2 linked regions of the Coturnix japonica genome follow. The protein of the gene in region 2 interacts with the protein of the main gene of each other region in a pairwise test. Links are inferred from orthologs where the notes say so. Each region holds a gene or a part of one and is shown on either strand. Other genes may lie near its edges.

What was found.
Region 1: the proteins of ZBTB25 (region 2) and SEPHS1 interact in binary tests that used the Homo sapiens proteins (3 or more experiments, as listed by UniProt). The two-hybrid records come from large-scale screens. The link is inferred for Coturnix japonica from reciprocal best matches to the Homo sapiens genes ZBTB25 and SEPHS1.

The regions. Positions count from the first base shown.
Region 1 is NC_029516.1:6,032,899-6,036,398, forward strand, and holds part of SEPHS1 (selenide, water dikinase 1), read right to left. Parts: intron 3,477-3,500; coding exon 3,369-3,476; intron 2,530-3,368; coding exon 2,375-2,529; intron 1,578-2,374; coding exon 1,487-1,577; intron 1-1,486. UniProt on the Homo sapiens protein: Synthesizes selenophosphate from selenide and ATP.
Region 2 is NC_029520.1:48,118,073-48,122,304, reverse strand, and holds the start of ZBTB25 (zinc finger and BTB domain-containing protein 25), read right to left. Parts: upstream 2,801-4,232; 5' UTR 2,704-2,800; intron 2,294-2,703; 5' UTR 2,287-2,293; coding exon 2,114-2,286; intron 642-2,113; coding exon 1-641. UniProt on the Homo sapiens protein: May be involved in transcriptional regulation.

The DNA of each region.
Region 1 (3,500 bases), on a different chromosome or scaffold from region 2:
CACCTACCTGTGTGACATGGTGTAGGGAGCCTGTTTTGGCAGGGGGGTTGGACTCGATGATCTCTAGAGGTCCCTTCCAACCGCTACAATTCTGTGATTCTATCTCCAAACGTTATTTTCCCTTCTTGGCCTGGGCATAAGCTTGCAGTACTACGTACCCTCTCTAACATACTTTTCAATACGAAGTCAAATTCCGTTCTGAAGCTTGATTTACAGGTGAGTTTGAGATGGGTAAGTCTAGTTTTATTTTCTTTACTCTTTCACAAGACAAAGCCAAAGAAAGGGCAGCAACGATACTCAGAAATTTTTCACTACAACAAAGATATATGCTGTTTACTGTAATAAGAGAATTGATTTCCTTCTGTCCCCATTTTTCAGACCAGAAAGTGCTTCTGGTTGACAGTCAAGGAAATTACAAGTACTTGAAATATGTGGAAATTCAGAGTATTGTTAATTTGCAAGTCTGTTTGTCAGTAAAATAACAGATATGTAAAGGAGTGAGATTATGGCCAGAAAACAGGCTATAAAACATGTGTCTTGCTTCATTTGATTTTCCTATCAAGATTATCTGAGGCCTTGATGCTTGTGTCTGACTGGAAAATGTAGGATTTTGCAGAGGCCAAGAAGTCAGGGCCGCACCCTGTGTATTTTAGGGGAAACATTATTTATCTGGTTGCTCACACTTCAGATTCCAGCGAAGGGTGAAGCTGGTTCTCTCCCACTTTTGCTCACACAGGCTTTGGAATTAAAATTCAGGCTAAACTGATTTCAGCTCACTCCTCTGCCTGTCTATTGGCTCAGCAGTCCCAAAAGCAGAAAAGATGCATCTTTTAAAAACATAAACTGAGCAGCTATAATTCGGAAGACATACACTGGGAGCCAGACAACATAAGCAGATGCCAATTTTGCAGTCACATTTCAGTTCAATAGTTACATTTTTGCCTGAAGTAACAGATGGAAATATGTCTGCATACATAACGCAGCTAGTATTACTCCTACTGAATGCACAGGATAATACATGTGAAAGGTGGAGATATTTCCACGTACAGAAGCAGAAAGTCTATGAACCCAGACAGCAGTCTTGGCCTAACTGACATCAATCAGCTTTTGCCAACTACTTTGGCATGTGGAATAGGGCATAATTTTACCCAGGGTGCTAATCTGTTGTACTGTTAGTCACTGACTCTGTTTGTTACAGCAATGCCAGAGAACTAGCTAAGAATTAGACCCAATTAAGATCACTAAACACAAAACGCTAAGCTGTCTCGGTTCCAAAAGAGTTTTGCACGTAAGAAGATAAGGCTGACATAACAAGGAGGAAGAAGAGGAATTAATTTCTATACGATTCCTGGCTGAGCACTCAATATACTTTTCAGTGTGAAGAGTATACGCTGCAGCTTTTCCTTCTGAGGTTTTGAGGGAATGGGGAAGGTCACCTTTACCTCCTGCCTCTTTCCCTTAATTTTGGTTTTGGCAGTGTACTCACAATATCCAGCCACTGGTGGACGGCTACAGCCACTTGTGTTCCCAAGGGTTTAGTTAATACAAGCACATCTCCTGGCACTGCATTGTCTGGCCTGAAAGCAAAGAATTCATATATTAATTACAGAGCGAGAGTCACATGTTATTAGGAATAAGTGCTGATAATTAGATTTTCACAGACCCATGTATCTTATTGTGCAGATTAAAAAAAGACTAATAGCTGAATTACCCTTTGGGATTCATTGCCAAGGGGTATCACTGAGCAAAAGCGCTGTAAACTTACTTAAAAGTACGAATCCTTTCTTGGAATAGAACAACATTTGCAATCAGACAAACAGAAAATTGCACCCTTTCTTTCAATCTACTGAAGATATAGAATAGAATAATGGAGAGAAACAAAACCACCCAAACTATTTTGCTTACTCAGGATATAAAATAAGCATCACTAGGATCACAAATTCCTTCATACAGTGTGGCATGCCACAGTGGAACATTCAAGATCAGCTACAGTTAATCAGCCAGAATGAGTAAACACAGCAATTCTCCATTTCTCTACAGCAATTAGCAGGTTAATTGGGAGGTATTGCATTTTAAACTCTGACAGAAATTTGTATCCCACAACTATCTTGAAAACGTGTAAAGGTTAGAAGCTTAACTGTCCTGTCTAAAGGAGAAGAGCAAAAGATATCAGGAGAAAAGTAAAAGCACATGCTGTTTTAAAAAGCAAAGAATGGACAGAAGAGATGTGGCAACTGCTCTGTGCTAAGGACAAATGCAAACAGGAGAAGGCACTGCTTTACTCATCAGAAGACAGATCACAACACGGTATTTAAAGGACTTTTACTGTATCCCGTCAGACCAATGCCTTTGATTGTCGAGTGATTTAACTTACATTATAAATTCATTAGGCTGACAGACTGTTGTGGCCACTCCTCCTAAAACAATCCAGGGATTTAACACTGTTTGACCACCAGTAACTGATGTTCCTGCCTCTTCTGCTGCGTCTTTGAAACCCTGGATTATTAGAGGTATCACTTTGTCTCTTTCCTAGAGATCAAAACAGAAGTCAGAGTTCCATCCACAGCAGTGCTAGTCATTTCAAGACAGGGTTATGGCTTTAATCACTCAAGTCAAATTCCCTCATGGCAAAAAGCTAATGACAGTCAGCCTGCAGAAACCACGTTATCCCATAAAGCTATGGCTTTACAGTTCCTTGTAAAATGCTGAAGAAACATTCTCCGAAAGGTCACATATAAAAGTAGAAAATTCAGAGAGTTCTGCAAACTCAGAACAACTATTCTGCTATTGTAATCAAGTACAGCCAGAAGCACAGTGCAATAAGGCAAAGTTAAATCAAGCTGAGTTCGGCCTCCACTAAACCTGTACCATTTCAACTAAGTTTCTTTTAAGAATGAACAAACCTTTTTTTTGCTAGAGAAAACAATCATACGTGCTGGTAAATTCCATCAAAAAGAAAAAAAAATAATTAAGAAAAAAGAACCTAGTTCAATTTCCTCTGCTTCAAAGAGATGCAACAAAGCTGGCATGAGGAAACCAAAAGTATCTATCCGAATTAATACATCAATTGCTAATCAAATCCTGCTTCAAAGCACAGTAAACAGGAGCAGAGACTCCATTTTTGTGGGGATCACAAAACAGAAGCAAATTATGATGCCACAGAAGACTGAAGATTTAGTGAATAATCTCACAGAGTTTATGAGGCAAGACTTGCACTATGAACTGAGGAACTGACTGAGCCATCTCTTCTTTAAAAAGACTCAAAATTTGAGGAGAAAATACACTAAAGCTGCATATGTTCTAAGTATGTATAGAGTACGTATAGTTGTTTGGGACCTTACTTCAGAAGCAAGTACCCCAAATCTTACCCTGTCTGTCATTTTATTGCTGACTCCGAGGAGCATCAACATGTTGTCACATTCTGTGACCCCCATGGCATAAAGGTCACTTAAGACATTGGCACATGCTATCCGTCCCTGAAAAAGAAAGAAGAAAGAAAG
Region 2 (4,232 bases):
CAAAGGGCAGTGAGCCTGAAACATGGGTGTGCAGGTGCTCCCGCAGCCCAGCCCGCGAGTCAAAGCGCTCCCCACAGTAGTGACACAGGTGCACCCTGAGGTTGGCCTTGGCAAGGATGGGGTTTGCTCTGTCTGGGGAAGGAGGGCTACAGCTCTGGGACACCACAGGCTCAGCCTCGCACTTCTCCTGCTTGATGGAGACTGAAAGCTTCGGCAACTCCTCCGCCGGCCTGGCCAGCACTGCGGGCTGGGCTGTGGGGTGTGTGCCGGGCTGCTCGCGGCTGCTGTCGTCCAGGCCGATGGCAAGGGAGAGCTGCAGCTGTGGGTGCTCAGCTGGGGCAGAAGGTCGGCCCCCCGCACTGCCCAGCGTCTCCTTGGCGCCCGGCCGTTCCTTTGCTGCTTTGTGCGCTGTGGAGATCTGGATCCCATAGAGGTTTGAGGACTGCACGGCCTCGGAGGGAAAGGCCTGGTTCATCTCGACAGCGAGGTGGGAAAGGTGGTCGGCGTGCAAGAAGCGGATGCCTTCCTCCAGCCGGCTCTGGCTGACTGCCTGCTTTGGGCCCTTCCCAGTGTACATGATGTGCAGGAGGTAGCTGAAAATGTCCGGCTGGATGTCTGCGGGCTGAATCTTTATGCACTCACTGAAACAAGAAGATGATTAAGCACATCGTTGACTCCAAATTACAGCCCTGACCCATTATCTGCCCATTCATCTGCACCGTCATTGGCTTGCAGAACATAGGCGCTGCCGCCTGGCTGCAGGTCCATGACGGACAGTGCTCCTTGCCAAGGCCTGAAGGAGCATGGCTGCCTTCTGTGCACAGCAGTGCTCAGCGTGTGTTTGTGTATGGATGGGGCTCTGAGCACCTAATGGAGCTGTAGGCGTCCCTGTTCATTGCAGGGGAGTTGGACAAGATGGCTTTTAAGGGTCTCTTCCAACTCAAATGATTCTGTGTATCTGGGTGATCGCAATGACAGTGCACAGAGCTGTGGTGAAGGACTGTGGGCACTGCCAGCCTTCGTCTGCCCCACCTGTGATGGCTCCTGGCCATGTGTGCCACCCTCAGGAGGCACAGAGTGTTTATGCACTCAGGTAATAAATCCAGCTGCTGCTGCCATGTAATCTTTACGAGCTTTGCACCTAAGTGTCAGCAAACAACTCCTATTGCTATTGAAGTTCACTTGTCTCTCACTTCCAAGCAAAGGGAGGATTGGGGCCTGCAGCATTGCCCCTGTGGGAAGGGCTGAGAGCTCTGGGACTGTTCAGCCTGGAGAAGAGAAGACTGAGAGGGGATCTTATCAATGCTTATAAATATCTAAAGGGCAGGAGTCAAGTGGATGGGGCCAGGCTCTTTTTGGTGGTGCCCAGTGACAGGACAAGGGGCAACGCTCACAAACTGTTAGTTCCATTTGAACATGAGGAACAGGCTGCCCAGAGAGGCGATGCAGTCACCTTCTCTGCAGATATTCAAAGCCTTCCCGGATGCCTTCCTCTTCAACCTACTGTCAAGAACTGCTTTAGCAGGGGGCTGGGCTGGGGGATCTCCAGAGTTCCCTTCCAACCCTGTGATGACTTCCCTGTGGTGGTGCTGGAGGCCAGGAGCTCACTGCCATGGGCAGCAGGGGGAACACAGAAGGGCTTAATCCATCGCTGCAGTTCAGAGGCGAGGTTAGGGCTCAGAGCCAACTTCCCTATACCTGCAGAACTGCCCTGGGTACGGTCAGGTGAAGCATCCAGATAGGAGACTGGAATAAGTGGATGCTCACAGTCCTGGCCCTTATCTGCAGACACTGAAGTGCAGCAAAAAGATAAGGCCATGGCTCCATGACTGCCTCGAGCCCACAGATCCTGTCAGGAGAGATCCAGCTGAGCCAGAAAACTGCCTGAGCCCCATGGGATCGGCTTTGTCCTGGAGCAGTTCCTGAGGCCATGGCAGCGCCGGTGCTGGGCAGGCTGTGCAGGAACTGAGATGCAGGCCAGGTTAGGAAAACATCTCAGGCCACATAACATCCCCACTTGTGCTCTTTGAGATTGCAACTCCTTTAGAAAGAGGAAAAAGCAGCAAGCCGAGGAGAGCAGTAAGGAGATAGAGAGAGAGCTGCGCATCCTTACCTTGTCTGATGGATAAATATCATCTTAAAATAGTTTGAGAAAGCAGCGAGCACCGCTCTGTGGGCTTTGAAGTAAACATCTCCAATGGCAACTGTGCAGTCGCACAGGAAGCCGAACTCCCGCTGCATGTTCAGCTGCTGGAGCAGGAGCAGGCTGTGGCCGGCCATGTCCATGGCACGTCTGGGAGGAGGACAGAAGGTTTGTCCCAGCACAAAGTCCCGTCAAGCACAGAGCACAGCCCCAGAGCCTCCTCCCCAGCTTCAATGATTCCCCCCTGTGACCCCCGCTCAGATCTGCTCCCTGCTCCAACGCACAACGAAACCACAGCACCAAGTGCCGCGCAGGTGCCAACTTTAACAACGTGTCCGAGCGCCGCCGCTCAGCGCAAACCGCACCCGGAGCGGGGAAGCGCACAGAGGGCAGCGTGTGCCGCCCCACAAAGCCCTCGCTGTGCAGCGCCGAGCCGCCCCGCACCCAACGGCCCCTTCTGCAAATACACGCTATTGTTTCCAACCCCCCCCAAATATCACAGCCGGGGCACGAGGGCCGGGAGGAGCCGCTCCCCGCACCCCGCGCCCCGCACCGCTTACCCCCGCGGAAGCGCTGCCCCGACCCTGCGCGGCTCCGCCCGCTCCCTGCGAGGCGGATGGGGTGGGCGCAGCTCCCCCCGCGCTTCCTGCCGCCGGGCTGGGCTGTGCCGAGCTGTTCCGTGCCGTGCAGGGTGGCCCACGCGCGGAAAAACTGAGAGAGGCGGTTGCGCGGGGGTTGCGCGGTTGCTGCGCGGCGAGGCGCTGAGCCTCCGTCTATGCGGCGAGGGCGCAAACACCGCGCAGAACTTCAGCCCCTCGCCCCGCGTGATGGAGGGGCCGCTACCCCTGGTTGATGTGGTGCCCAAGGGATTGAGTTTCGTATCTTTAATACCGAAAATGGCAGTGGGAATCACCGCTGCTGTGCTTTCTCCACGTGGGTTTCATGCAGCTTCACCCCTCCGTGGTGTCTGTCGTGTTTTGCAGATCATATTTTGTTTTCCCTGAGCCTTTGATGTTTCGCTGCTCGTTGGAATGGTGATTTTTAATTGGGCCAAATCTGAAGCCTTTAGGGCAAACGCTGCCCCAATAGCAGCAGACACGGGACTGCTTCCAGAGGTGCCTGCAGGAGGGTGAATGCTCCATGCAGCGCTCACTGCTCATCCCACTGTGCCCACAAACATTCCTTTTTCCAGCATTCCCTGCCTTATTTCTCCTATTTACACACAAAGCTCCCTGCGCTCGGGGCCATCTTCCCACATAGTAGCGGGGCTGCAGTTTAATGGTGCTCCAATCCCACTGCCCCTATCAGTACCATACTACTGTCATACTTGCAGTACCACTTGCTACTGTTCTTCCCCCAAAGGCCGGCAATAGGAGCTCAAGGTTCCGTGCTCCGCTCCTGTGTTATGTGACATATTTATTAACCCAGGTACCGAGTGAGGGGCTGTTTGCAGACAGCAGGTTATTTATTTAAACGATTAATTATTTACATGTTATCTAGGTTGACCCTGGCCCAAAGATGGCTTTGAAAAGCTCCAGAGAAACCAGAGCCAAAACGATGGGAGCAGTGATGAGGAATGAGATTTTACTATAAGAGCAGTCAATGGTTTCACAGGGCTTCAGGGGTACAAAGTGCTACAGCCCACAGCGGGATGTTGTCATAGCTATTGTGATGTCATCACGGCTATTGTGATGTCACCATAGCTATTGTGATGTCATCATGGCTATTGTGATGTCACCATAGCTATTGTGATGCCATCATAGTTATTGTGATGTCATCATAGCTATTGTGATGTCATCATAGCTATTGTGATGTCATAACTGCTGTGATGGCGTCATCGTGGCTATCAGAACAGGGGTGAATGTCAATGAAGTGGCTGTTAGGGAGGGTTGTTTCTATGTACACGTGCACTTGGTTGCTACATTTGTAGCTTGTGGTGTTTTCAAATCTGTAATCAAATCTTCTGCTGCCATCGCCCACCTGGAGCTGAGCAGCCTTGGACAGCATCACCTTCTGGGCTCATTGCAACAGTAATGATTTGATAGTTCCTTGGGTACCAACACAGAAGTGATGGCACCTCTGGAAACGG